Oryctolagus cuniculus: one gene and its partner. The protein of the gene in region 2 binds, or shares a complex with, the protein of the main gene of each other region. Links are inferred from orthologs where the notes say so. Each region holds a gene or a part of one and is shown on either strand. Other genes may lie near its edges.

Region 1 (4,620 bases), on a different chromosome or scaffold from region 2:
GCTGGGGGCCCAGGGCTCTCAGGTGGGAAGGAGGAGGTGCTGGGGACTGCACTCCCTGTCCATGGTTGGGTCGTTGGGTCGGCCTGTTCTCTTCACACGCGGCCGGCGGCTTCCCCACCTCCTGGCCAGGGCAGGCAGCCACTCCAGGTATGTGCAGAAGTCTTGGGCGCGCCCTGGCCTGTCCTGTGAGGAGGGAACATTCCAGGAAGTCTCTGGGACCCAGGGCTTCTCAAGTGTGGGCCCTGGGGGACCCGGGCGTCCAGGCCAGCCCCGCCTGCGCCCCGTCTGGGAGATGGATGGGCCGAGGGGAATGTAATCTTTCCCAGCCTCCTCCATCTGCCGCCGCCCCCCTTCCCGCTTCTCCCCTGCGCCCATCTGCTTCCCATCCCAGCCAGGAGCCATCACCTGGGCCAGGGAAGGGGGCCTCTGGGAAGGGGGCAGGGCCTTGGCTCCTGGGTACCCTGAGAAGAGGGTGATCAGGGGCCCAGGCCCACTCCCCCCACCTGCCTGCTTCACCTGCCTGTCTGCTTCTTCCCCCAGGGGTTGCCCCCTCCCTCTGCTGAGATGTCAGGAAGGAAGGGGCCAGCTGTGTCCTCCACAGGGGCCCCCTGGAGCCTGGGGGCCCCCGGCCCGGGAGCTCGGAGGTGGAGCACGTGCTGACAGGTCTGGTCGCCAGCGGCTGCTTCCCAGCCCTCCCCACGCCACCCCTTCCCAGAGCCACAGGCTTCTAGGATGTGGTGGAGAAACTGGGGTACCACGCCCCTGCCCGGTCCGTCTCCCACAGGGAGGCTGAGGCGCCCCCGCCCCCAGGAGGGAAGTTAGCAGCAGTGTGGGACTGAACTCGGGTCTCTCCGGGACTCCGGACGGCGGCCTGTCCTCCACGCTGCGGGCCTCGGGTGTCCTTGGGGGCACGGAGGCTAGAGTAGAGCGACCCAGACGGGGTTCCAGTCCCCTCTCTGGTGCTGTGGGATCTGGGGCAAGTCTGGCTTCTCTGAGCCTGCATTCCCCCGCCTTGTTGGGAATTAAGGAATGGCGGTTGGAAAATGATGATGGATCCAGCGTCCCGAGGGAGGGAAGGGGCTCCCTGGGGCCGCGGCAGGACCGGAAGGTGTCTCCTTCCTCCTCTCACCCCAGCCCCCTCGCTCTGTCTTCAGGTGCTCCGAGAGATGCTCCCCCACCTCGCGTGCTCCCTCCCTGTCCTCCTCCTCCTCTTCCTCCTCCCCAGTGTCCCAGTGGAGCCCCATCCCCCGCCCTCGACGCTGCCCCCGTTTCTGGCCCCTGAGTGGGACCTCCTGTCCCCCCGGGTAGCCCTGTCCAGGGGCACGCCCTCGGGGCCCCCTCTGCTCTTCCTGCTGGAGGCCGGGGCTTTCGGAGAGCCGGCCAGCGCCCCGGCCAACCGCAGTCGGCGTGGGGTGAGCGAGACGGCACCAGCGAGTCGCCGGGGGGAGCTGGCCGTGTGCGACGCGGTCAGTGGCTGGGTGACCGACCGCCGGACGGCCGTGGACTTGCGCGGGCGCGAGGTGGAGGTGCTGGGCGAGGTGCCTGCGGCGGGCGGCAGTCCCCTGCGCCAGTACTTCTTCGAGACCCGCTGCAAAGCTGAGGGCGCCGGGGAAGGCGGGGGCTGCCGAGGTGTGGACCGGAGGCACTGGGTGTCCGAGTGCAAGGCCAAACAGTCGTACGTGCGGGCGCTGACCGCTGATGCCCAGGGCCGCGTGGGCTGGCGATGGATCCGAATCGACACTGCCTGTGTCTGTACCCTGCTCAGCCGGGGTGGCCGGGCCTGAGGCCGGAGCCCAGGAACCGGCCAGGCGGAGGAGAGAGCGAAGAGAACTGGATCTGTGCGGAGGGACCTCGGGGGCGGTCTGGCTTGCTCAAGGGCCTGCGTTTGGGAACTTGCCGGAATGGCGGCAAAATCACAGCTGTGGGAGGAGTGATGACACCACACGGAGTCCCGAGGATGGGTTCGGGTCCTCCTGGAGGGACGGAGGGGATTCACAGTGAAAGCAGCCAATGCCCACCGAGCCAATGCCCTCGCATCAGCTGTTGAGGATCCCACCGGCAGAGACCCTCGGTTCTAAGTTGCGGTCTCAGAGGACACTGGGTTGCCCACCTGGGAAGGAGGGACAAGTGGATGGGGGAGGGGAGAGCCCGGGACACAGGGCCAGCACCTGGAGAGCATGGCACCTCAGTACCTGGGGGCGGGGATTCAGACGAGAAACTGTGCTCCGTGCGAGGGGGCAGTTGTCAGTTTTGAGGTAGTGAGCCTCCCATCACAGGGCCTGGGCAAGGCCAGGCTGCTGGGGAGGTCACCCCTGCGCAGAGGGCTGGAGTCAGGTTTCTGCCCCCATTCCCTGTCCCAACCTTCACCCCGCACTGGGGAAGAAACACTATACACACTTGACACTGTCTGGTTGGAGCAGGACACGGGGTTCCGACCAGTCGGCCTGCGCCCTGGTTGGGATCGGGGCTCAGCCGACACCGAGGCCTTTGAATAGGGCTGAGAAAATCCAACAGGAGCCAGCGGGCTGAACGGGGCAGGGGTTGGGGGGGAGGTGTGTGCCAGGCTGCGGGAGGGCCGCAGAGACGGAGACTGCCCCCAAAGCTGTGGGACAGACTCCCCCCCCTCCGAATGGTGCCCCTTCCTGTGGCTCCAACACCCCTGTCTGCCACACACGCAGCTTCCCCCCTACACAGACCGGCCCCCAGGCCCGGCTGTCTCTTCCTGCATGGCCTTCCTCTAGATCCTGTGGGTCCCATGTGCCTTTTTTTTTTTTTTTCTTTTTTTTTGCCACCTTGCTCCCTGTCCCTCTAACTTCCTGAGTCTCTCATCTCTGGGTCGGTAGCTGCCTGCCTGCCCTGGCCAGGTCCTTCTCTCTCTGTTGGGTGGGGTATTTCCCTTTGTATTTCAACTTTCTGCAGGTCTCTCCCTTTTCGTCCCCCCCACACACACACACACATCCAGGTGGAAGTTTTCAACCAAATCAAAGGCAGGCCGGCGACGCTGGCTCCTTCTGCAGGCACAGGGCAGATGGGAGGGTCCTGGGGCGTCTGGAAATCGTTACCCCGGGGGAGTGGGCCGGCCTGGCAGAGGGAGGAGGCAGCCGGGAGGGGCTGTGCCCCACAGGAGAGCCGGGTTCTCAGAGACCCTGGTGGGCTCAGGGAGGGTCTCTGCCTCTCTTGCGGTCTGTGCCTCCTGGCCCTCCCAGGCCTCTCCCCCTCCCTCTGCTGCCCCCTCGCTGGGGTCTGTCTCCCCCTCATCTCCCTTTTCGCACCCCCACGCCAGCCCCGTTCTGTGCCCCTCTAGGGATCTCTGCCCCTAGTCCCCAGACCTCTGTCTCGCTCTGCCCATCCACTTGCCTGCGGGCCCTTTCATTGGCTAGGCTCCGAGTGGGCGGGTTCTGTCACCTGTGGCAACAGCAACAACAAGCCTGCTCCCGCTTGGCTACTGGGTCGGGGTGGGTCATGGCTGGGCGGACCCTGGCGCTGCGCTACGGCCCCCCATGGTCCCCCATCTCCGGAACTGAGGTGCCTGGGTCCTGGCCCAGCTGGCATCTCACCAGCAGCGGCGTTGCGCACCACCACATCCCCTCCCTGCCCTTCCCCCCGCCCAGCGTGCAGGTGAGCCGACCCCCGCTGGAGGGCGAGCCTGGGATCCGGAAAGCTGGGTGCTGAGAAGGGGCCTGGGGGCTCGTCCTCGTAATCCACCCTGAGAGAGGAGCGGGGAACCTGGGAGCCAGGGAGTGGCGCGGGGAAGGGCCGCGGACCGAGGGGAAGAGGGCGGAGCGGAGCGGAGCCCCGAGTCTTGAGCCGACGAACGGCGCCGTCTCCCCAGTGCACAGTCGCGGGGCCCCTGCCCCCGGCCGCGAAGCAGGACTGGCCCATCGGGGCTTTCGACGAAGTCTTTAACACATGGGAGACAACCTCGGGCTCGGCGCACGTGCGCAAGACTCACGGTGGGCCCTTGGCGCAGGCCCGGGCCCCGGAGCCCGCGGACCCCACGCGCACCTTGGGGATCAAGTCTTTAGGAGAAAAGGTGAGGTCCTGGGGCGCTGGAGACGGCAGGGCCGGGCACGTGCGCCCCCCGCGCCCTTACGTCGGGTGCCTGGGTCGCCTCTCTACAGCTCAGACACCACGGCTGGCACCTGGCGGGGACCGCCGAGATCCAGAGCGAGACGAAAGCGAAGTACCCGGGCTGGCTCCCCGCGCCGCTGCGCGCCCCCTCGCCCGGCGTGCCGCAGCCCCTGGAGCTCGCCGACCACCTCTGCGGGGGCCCTTCGCAGGTAGCCGAGCGCGGGACAGCGCTGGCACCCTGCGAGATTCGGGACCGGCCTAGGGGCATAGCTGGGGAGACTGGCTACAGAGCCAGGTAGTTGCGTGGACTTGTTGAGGCGGGACCAGGACTCAAAATCCAGGCTTGCAGGTGGCCGGCCTGTAGGTAGGGAGTGCGCCTGGACTATTCCGAGAGGGGTTGGGGTGGGAGGTGGGCATCAGGCCTTCCTGGGGAGGAAGAGATGAAGTGGACTTGATGCCCAAGAAGCAGAGAGATCTGGTGGCCAGAGAAGGCTGGCACTGGGGGTGGAACCAAGGAGATTTGCTGGGGCTGGGGCTTGAATCCCTTGG
Region 2 (6,662 bases):
GGTTCACTCTCCAAACAGCCACAACAGCCAAGGCCATTTGGGACGCAGTGTCCTAGGAGGTGACTTAACCTCCTGTGCACAGTGCTGGCTGTGGTTTCTCAAGGTGAAAGCTGAGGTCATTGGTGGGATACCTTTCTTTCCTAACATAGATATTCAGTGCTATGAGGTCCTCCCTCCACAACTGCTTTAGTGGCGTCCCGCAAATTCTAAAAGGGAGTACTTCCAATCTTCCTCTTGGCTCTGTCCCCTTTCATCTTTTCAGTGTGCTTTCCCTGCCCTCAGGTGAGTTCTCCACCTGCTTGTGCTCATCCCTGCTCTGCTGTGTGCCTGAGAAGGACCCTCTGATGCTCTCCACATTTCTCTCTGTGCAAAGCCCGCCTCCCTGCTTCTCTGCCCTGTGAACTCTGCTCTCTGTACGTGCTCTTAACTCGCTTATATCTGCACAATTCAGGGAGCTGTGTGCCGACTGGGTTCTCTCTATCTGAGCCATACCATCGATCTATGATAACTGTCTTAAAAACGATTGCTACTTATATATATATATATATATTTAACATTTATTTATTTGAAAGTCAGAGTTACACAGAGAAGGAGAGGCAGAGAGAGAGAGAGAGAGAGAGAGAAAGATCTTCTACCTGCTGGTTCACTCCTCAGATGACCGAAAGGGCCAGAGCTGTGCTGACCTGAAGCCAGGAGCCAGCAGCTTCTTCTGGGTCTCCCACGTGGGTGCAGGGGCCCAAGGACTTGGGCCATCTTCTGCTGCTTTCCCAGGTCATAGCAGAGAGCTGGATGGGAAGTGGAGCAGCCGGGACTCGAACTGGCACCCATATGGGATGCGGGCACTGCAGGTGGTGGCCTAACCCACTATGCCACAGTGCCAGCCCCTTGTGTATGGGTTGTGATGTAAAAGGCATCTTGTAACATGGACGATGGTCAGGTTGTTACAGAAACACTGGACTAGGTGCATCATGGTTCAGTCCAGGGTGCAGCCTGCAGTCCATGCCTGCACTGAAGGGATCTGGGGGAAATGATTTCTATTTTATATTCCTATGCATATGCAAATTATATCCATATGCAAAGTGCTCATCTGCCACAAAGCTATGATCTGAGAATCCCCACAATGATCTTTGGGGAATACACAGTAGGCTTTGCAGCTGAGATTCATCTATGAGGGGCCAGCACTGTGGCGCAGCGGGTTAAAGCCCTGGCCTGCAGTGCCGGCATCCCACAAGGGCGCCGGTTCAAGTCCTGCCTGCTCCACTTCTGATCCAGCTCTCTGCTATGGCCTGGGAAAGCAGTAGAGGATGGCCCAAGTCCTTGGGCCCCTGCACCAGCGTGGGAGACCAGGGAAAGGCTCCTGGCTCCCAGCTTCGGATGGGTACAGCTCCGGCAGTTGCAGCCAGTTGGGGAGTGAACTAGTAGATGGAAGACCTCTCTCTCTCTCTCTCTTTCTCTCTCTCTCTTTGTTTGTGTCTCCTTCTCTTTCTGTATTTATTTCAAATAAATAAATAAAATCTTTAAAAAATAAAAAAATAAAAATAAAGACACTGGCCAGCCACATCAGGCTGCCCATTTGAGTCCATCAGCTTCTGATCCAGCTTCCTGCTAATGTGCCTGGGAAGGCAGCCAAAAATGACCCAAATGCTTGAGTCTCTGCCATCCACCTGGGAGACCCGGACTCTTGGCTTCTGTTTGGGCCAATGGTGTGTTTTCTGGCCATCTAGGGGAGTGAACCTGTGGATGGAAAATATCTCCGTCTCTCCTCTGTCATTTGCCTTTTAAACAATCAAATAAATATTTTAAAAAAATATTCATAGGCCTTAAAAAACAAAAAAGACCAAGTACCTACTGTGGACAAAGGAGTAGAGCAGGTAAGGGTGATTGGAAGCAGGACCACCAAACTTTTAGTGCGAGATATTCATCGGGATCCTTTAGGATATAAACATTAACAGGTATTCTATGCCCATCCTAATACAAATTCGGCCAACAGCCCAGCATCATTAACAATCTCTGGTCCACAGCTCACGCTGAAGGGGTCCATCCTCGTAGATGCTGCATCTACATCCCCCGGCCACTAGGGCGCAAAGGGGGCCCTTTCCGAGAAAAACAGGGCTGGGGGAACGACGTGGGGACCGCAACCACCCACACTCCCCTTCCCCGAGCGCCTCGCGTGGAAGACACCAGCAGCACAGGCGCAATGCTTATTGCGCGACCCGGCCAGGACAGACACCTTTGCCCTGTGGCCTCCCATCCGTGGCGATGGAGGCCGAGCGCGCTGCGGGGCTGAGGTTCGGCGCAGCCTTTCGGCGGCACCCAGGCGTGCCCAAGCCCAGAGACGACGCTGGGGCAGCCCCGCTCGCCTTGTCTTGCGGGGCCGGGGCCGGGGAGGGGGCTGCGGCGAGACTTCTGGGTGCTGCGAGCGCGAGAATTCTCGCGGTTACGCTCAGTGGCCCGGGATCCGCACCCCCCCCCCCGCCCCCAGCTTTAGGTGACTTGTTCTGTGTTAAGGCGGTGCCAAAAGATCCGAGCACTCCCTGTCACTGTCAGTGTCTCGGGCCTTTCCAGCCCAGGCCTGTGCCGGCAGATCCGTGATCGCTCTAAACGTCTGGGAAGAGACCACCTGCGGTCGCCCTCTCGCGCGCTCTCTCTCTAGCGCGCGCGCGCGGGGACCCTGCTCGCCTTTCTCCCCGGCTGCAGCAGCAGCAGCAGCAGCAGCTGGACGAGGTCGGGCGAGCATCTCACGGGCAGAGGGTCCGAGCCGCGCACGCGTCGGGCGCCGCCGGCTGCGCATCGGGCGCCTGAGCGCGCCCCCAGCGCTGCGCCCGCCGCGACCGCGGCCGTGGGCTGGCGCTCTCTCCCCGCGCGGGGGCACCAGAGCCCTCGCTAGTGTCAGGCACTGCGGTGCATTTTTTTCCCAGTTCCCTTTTTTTAAATGACTGCGGAAAAAACGGAGTCTCCGAGCCGCAAATGGGAAGACGGATTCTCAAACCAGGTTTGCGAATGGCCCGCAACCATCCTTGAACTGCGCCCGCGGAGCAGTTACGGGTGGGCACCGACCCCGCCGGATCGCCTCACTTGTCCCTAGTGAGCCCCCGAGGCTCTGCCCGCACCGGGCTTCTCTGTAGCTGGATGCATACCGTGCTCCGAGCGGCGCGGGCGCAGGGCACGCGTTCGTGCACCCCCGCGCACACCCGCACACGCGCAAGGTACGGCAGGGGCGCGCGGGCTCGGGGTGCCCCGCGTGGGGGTGGGTCTCGTGGGGGAGTGAAGCGACGGTCTGGGAATGGCTGCGGCCAGCCAGGTGGAAGCATGAGAGAACATGACGCGGCGCCAACGCATCGGACAGGCCGGCGTGGCTGCCGCGCAGTTACGGAGCCCAGCGCGCCACTCGCGTTCCCTACCTCTCACACGTCTCTCCCGAGCGTGTGGTGGCAGAAAACCCCAGGAGAAAGACCCCCCACTTAGGGAGCTCCGGTTGTGTTTGGAGACCACCCCACCTCCCCCTTCAAAAGCACCAAGGAGAAGACCTCATCCCCCCACTCCCTCCCCAAACAACCCATCCCCAAATAGGTGACCCGGAAGGGGGGGGGGGGCGCTGATCCTTGGCTCCCCGAGCAGAGCAGGTCCTGGCGTTGACAGCTGTGCATTCCGTGCTAGCGGAGCTCGCCGACCCTTTTTGGGTAGGGTGGGCAAAGGAGAACGCAGCAGGGTTGGAGAGTGGGGGATTCCAACAATAAGCATCAGCGCATTTTTTTTTAATTTAATTTTATTTTTTCAGAGCGGAACCCAGCCCTGTCCCCCGTCTACAAATGGGAGACGGACGGCCTCTGTAGGAGGGTCGGGGACCCGGAGGCGTCGAACCGCGGCGCGGCGCGGCCCGCGCACGCGCGCGTCCCCACGGCAGGCTGTGCGCGCGTGTGTGCGCGCCTGTGCGGGCTCCCACCGGCTGCTTGCGCTCGGCTCCTGGCCGGCGGCGCCGGTGCCTCCCTCCCCGCGCCCGCCCCCAGATTCCCCTCCCTTCCCCGTGGCTTTTGTCTGGAGGGTGTGATGGGCTTGTGTGTGTATGAGCGTGTGTGTTTTTGGATTTCAGACTAATTTTCTGGAGTTTCTGCCCCTGCTCTGCGTCAGCCCTCACGTCACTTCGCCAGCAGTAGCAGAGGCGGCGGCGGCGGCGGCGGCTCCCGGAATTGGGTTGGAGCAGGAGCCTCGCTCGCTCCCTGGCTCGCGGCGCTCGCGGCGCTCAGTCCCCCGGCGGCAGCGGGGAGCCTGGACCCTGGACCCGGGCGCCGCCGGCGGGCGTGAGGCGCCGGAGCCCCGGTGAGCAGCGCCTACACTCACTGCCCTCCCGTCGCCTCGGCCCTCGCCGCCCTCCCCGGGGCGGCCGCAGCTGCTGCCCAGGTGGGACGTGCCGCGCCACCTGCCCGCGCCCCCGCCCCGGCGCCCGGCAGCAGCCGCGACAGATTCTGCAGCATCATTCGGGGGGCCCCGTCGCGGAGCCATCGCTGCCAACAGTGGCCGCGTCCCCCCCCCACCCCCGCGAAAGGGTCCCCCACCATCCTCCTCCCCCCCAACCCGGCCTGTGCCATGGCATCTTGTCTCAGGGACCCTTTCCCCGCCTCTCGTCCCTTGGCCTCAGCATTGAGGGAAGAGAGGGTGGGCGTGTTGGCGGCCCCAGCGGCGTCCGTGCCATCCCCCCCGGGGCAAGCCGATTCCCAGGCCAGAGCAGGGCGCTTCCCACCCCGTCCACAGTCTCGGGGCCGGGGTCGGGGTTGGGGTGCGGCGAGCGCGGAGGGAGAGTGCCCCAGCCCCCAGGGCGTGCGTGCGTGGGGCCCAGCGCCCAGGCTTACGCGCGTGTCTGTTTGTCCTCAGCCCCGGAGCGGCCCCGCGCGCGCCTAGCAAGGAGCCTGCGCCCGGAGACAATCCCCGGGAGCGCCGCCGGCCGGTGCCCCGCACGCCCCGGGCCATGCAGCGGCGGCCGCAGCGGAGCTCGGAGCGGCGGTAGCGCCCCCTGGGAAGCGGCCTGTGATGCCCCGGCCGCTGTGAACGGTGCTGCCCGCGCCAACACTTCCCGGAGCCCCGGCCACGCGGAGCCTCGGACACGCTCGACTCTGCGCGCCCGCAGCTGGCACCGAGGAATCCCGGAGAGCGGCGAGCGCGGGCAAGGCCTCCCCGCACGGGCGGCGGAGCGGGGAAGCCTGCCGCCGGTGCAGCTCGGGGACCCACACTTGGGCTTAACCCCCTAGGCGGCTGGGGATGTCGCTGTGGACGAGGTGGCATGGACCCACCATGGCGCGCCTCTGGAGCTTCTGCTGGTTGGCGCTGGGCTTGTGGAGGCCCGCTGTCGCCTGTCCCGCGTCTTGCACGTGCAGTGCCTCTCGGATCTGGTGCAGCGACCCTGTGCCCGGCCTCATGGCGTTTCCCAGGCTGGAGCCCAACAGTGCAGACCCGGAGAACATCACCGAAATGTGAGTTCTTTGCTCTCCTCGAACCGCCCCCCCTCCACCATGGGCTCACTGGCAGGGTGGGTCCGGGCCAGGTCGTGGTGCTGGGCCATTGCCCCGTTACCTGTCTTATTTCCCCCAGCGGGAGCCTGTCTAGCACGGGCGAAGTGGGACACTTTCAGATAAGTTTTTAGGTATATATGTCAAGCTTATTTTTTAAAAAATCTATCTATCTATCTATCTATGCACTTATATTCCCGGTGGGAAGGCATCCCATAAGGTATTTTATATTCCAAAGCTGTGCTGGGCTGTGCTTTGGCTTTCCCCTTTGCTGTAAGTTTGCTTTGGACGCCTTTAATTCATGGAGCGCCACTGGGACGGTGTGTTAGGCAGGGTCCCAGAAATATGCATGAGAAAGGAGGTGAAAATTATGAAGTTTCTGACGTCTCCGGGAGTCTCTTGCCTTCACCTCTTTCTCTGAGGGTTGGAGCTCATCAGTTTCCCTTTGGAATCTCCTGGAGCAGAGATGGCCTTGCAAATGATCTGTAAGAGGAGAAGTCCTGAGTGTGGAGTGCGGTCCTTGGGAGCCTGAGAGCCTTACTCTGGTTTAATTTGGAGCTGATTGTTTTTTCTTTCCCAGAGACCATTTGGGTCGGGAATCTTAATTGCCCATGGAATAAGCCCCTAGGTTGGACCAGAAAGCAGGGTGTAGTCTTTGATGAGTGCTGTCTCCCACCTGGGGCCCTGGAAGAGTCTGACTGCATGGGGCAGCAGAGATGTGTGTTTCTGTCCCCTCCCTACCTGGCTCCCGAACAGGAGCTCACCGGTCCTGTCGCCTGCTGTCCTGTGCCTACCTCTCCTAGCAATGGATGGCGCTTTACCATGGCCAGTGTTTTGTGACCCCGAGGTTTCATCTGTCCCCTGGAAGGGAGAGGGAGGCAAAGTTTGTGCCGGTTTTCCTGACCGAGGCTGGTGTTCAGCCTTTGAGGAGGGCTCGGGCTGTGGCCTTCCGGTTGGCGAGTGCGCATGCATGTTCCCCCACCCCCACCCCCACCCACCCCACACACAGAACAGGCACAACCATGGTTCCTGCAGCCTAGGTGATGGAGATAACCTGTTTTGTACTGTAAGTAAGAGACCGGTCTGGTCCCCGTTGCCTGTTCCGCTGGTAACGAAAGGCCCAGGGCTGAAACCACAAGACAGCTTAGTCTTCTTGGCATA

Evidence for each region.
Region 1: the proteins of NTRK2 (region 2) and NTF4 are in contact, whole or in part, in a crystal structure (PDB 1HCF), measured with the Homo sapiens proteins. The link is inferred for Oryctolagus cuniculus from reciprocal best matches to the Homo sapiens genes NTRK2 and NTF4. Residues at the interface, in NP_001018074.1 of Homo sapiens: Phe291, Glu293, Thr296, Ser297, Asp298, His299, Cys302, Pro304, Thr306, His335, Val336, His343, Gly344, Cys345, Asn350, Thr352, His353, Met379, Gly380, Trp381, Pro382, Gly383; in NP_001382418.1 of Homo sapiens: Gly81, Val82, Ser83, Glu84, Thr85, Ala86, Ser89, Arg90, Arg91, Gly92, Glu93, Leu94, Ala95, Asp98, Ala99, Ser101, Gly102, Trp103, Thr105, Tyr135, Phe137.

Annotation. Positions count from the first base shown.
Region 1 is NC_091449.1:8,249,381-8,254,000, forward strand, and holds the end of NTF4 (neurotrophin-4), read left to right. Parts: intron 1-540; 5' UTR 541-663; intron 664-784; 5' UTR 785-1,043; coding exon 1,044-1,784; 3' UTR 1,785-2,401; downstream 2,402-4,620. UniProt on the Homo sapiens protein: Target-derived survival factor for peripheral sensory sympathetic neurons. May promote ameloblast differentiation and subsequent reduction in proliferation of ameloblasts.
Region 2 is NC_091432.1:135,546,350-135,553,011, forward strand, and holds the start of NTRK2 (BDNF/NT-3 growth factors receptor), read left to right. Parts: upstream 1-2,800; 5' UTR 2,801-3,206; intron 3,207-4,090; 5' UTR 4,091-4,398; intron 4,399-4,869; 5' UTR 4,870-5,253; coding exon 5,254-5,465; intron 5,466-6,489; exon of another isoform or gene 6,490-6,544; coding exon of another isoform or gene 6,545-6,567; intron 6,568-6,662. UniProt on the Homo sapiens protein: Receptor tyrosine kinase involved in the development and the maturation of the central and the peripheral nervous systems through regulation of neuron survival, proliferation, migration, differentiation, and synapse formation and plasticity.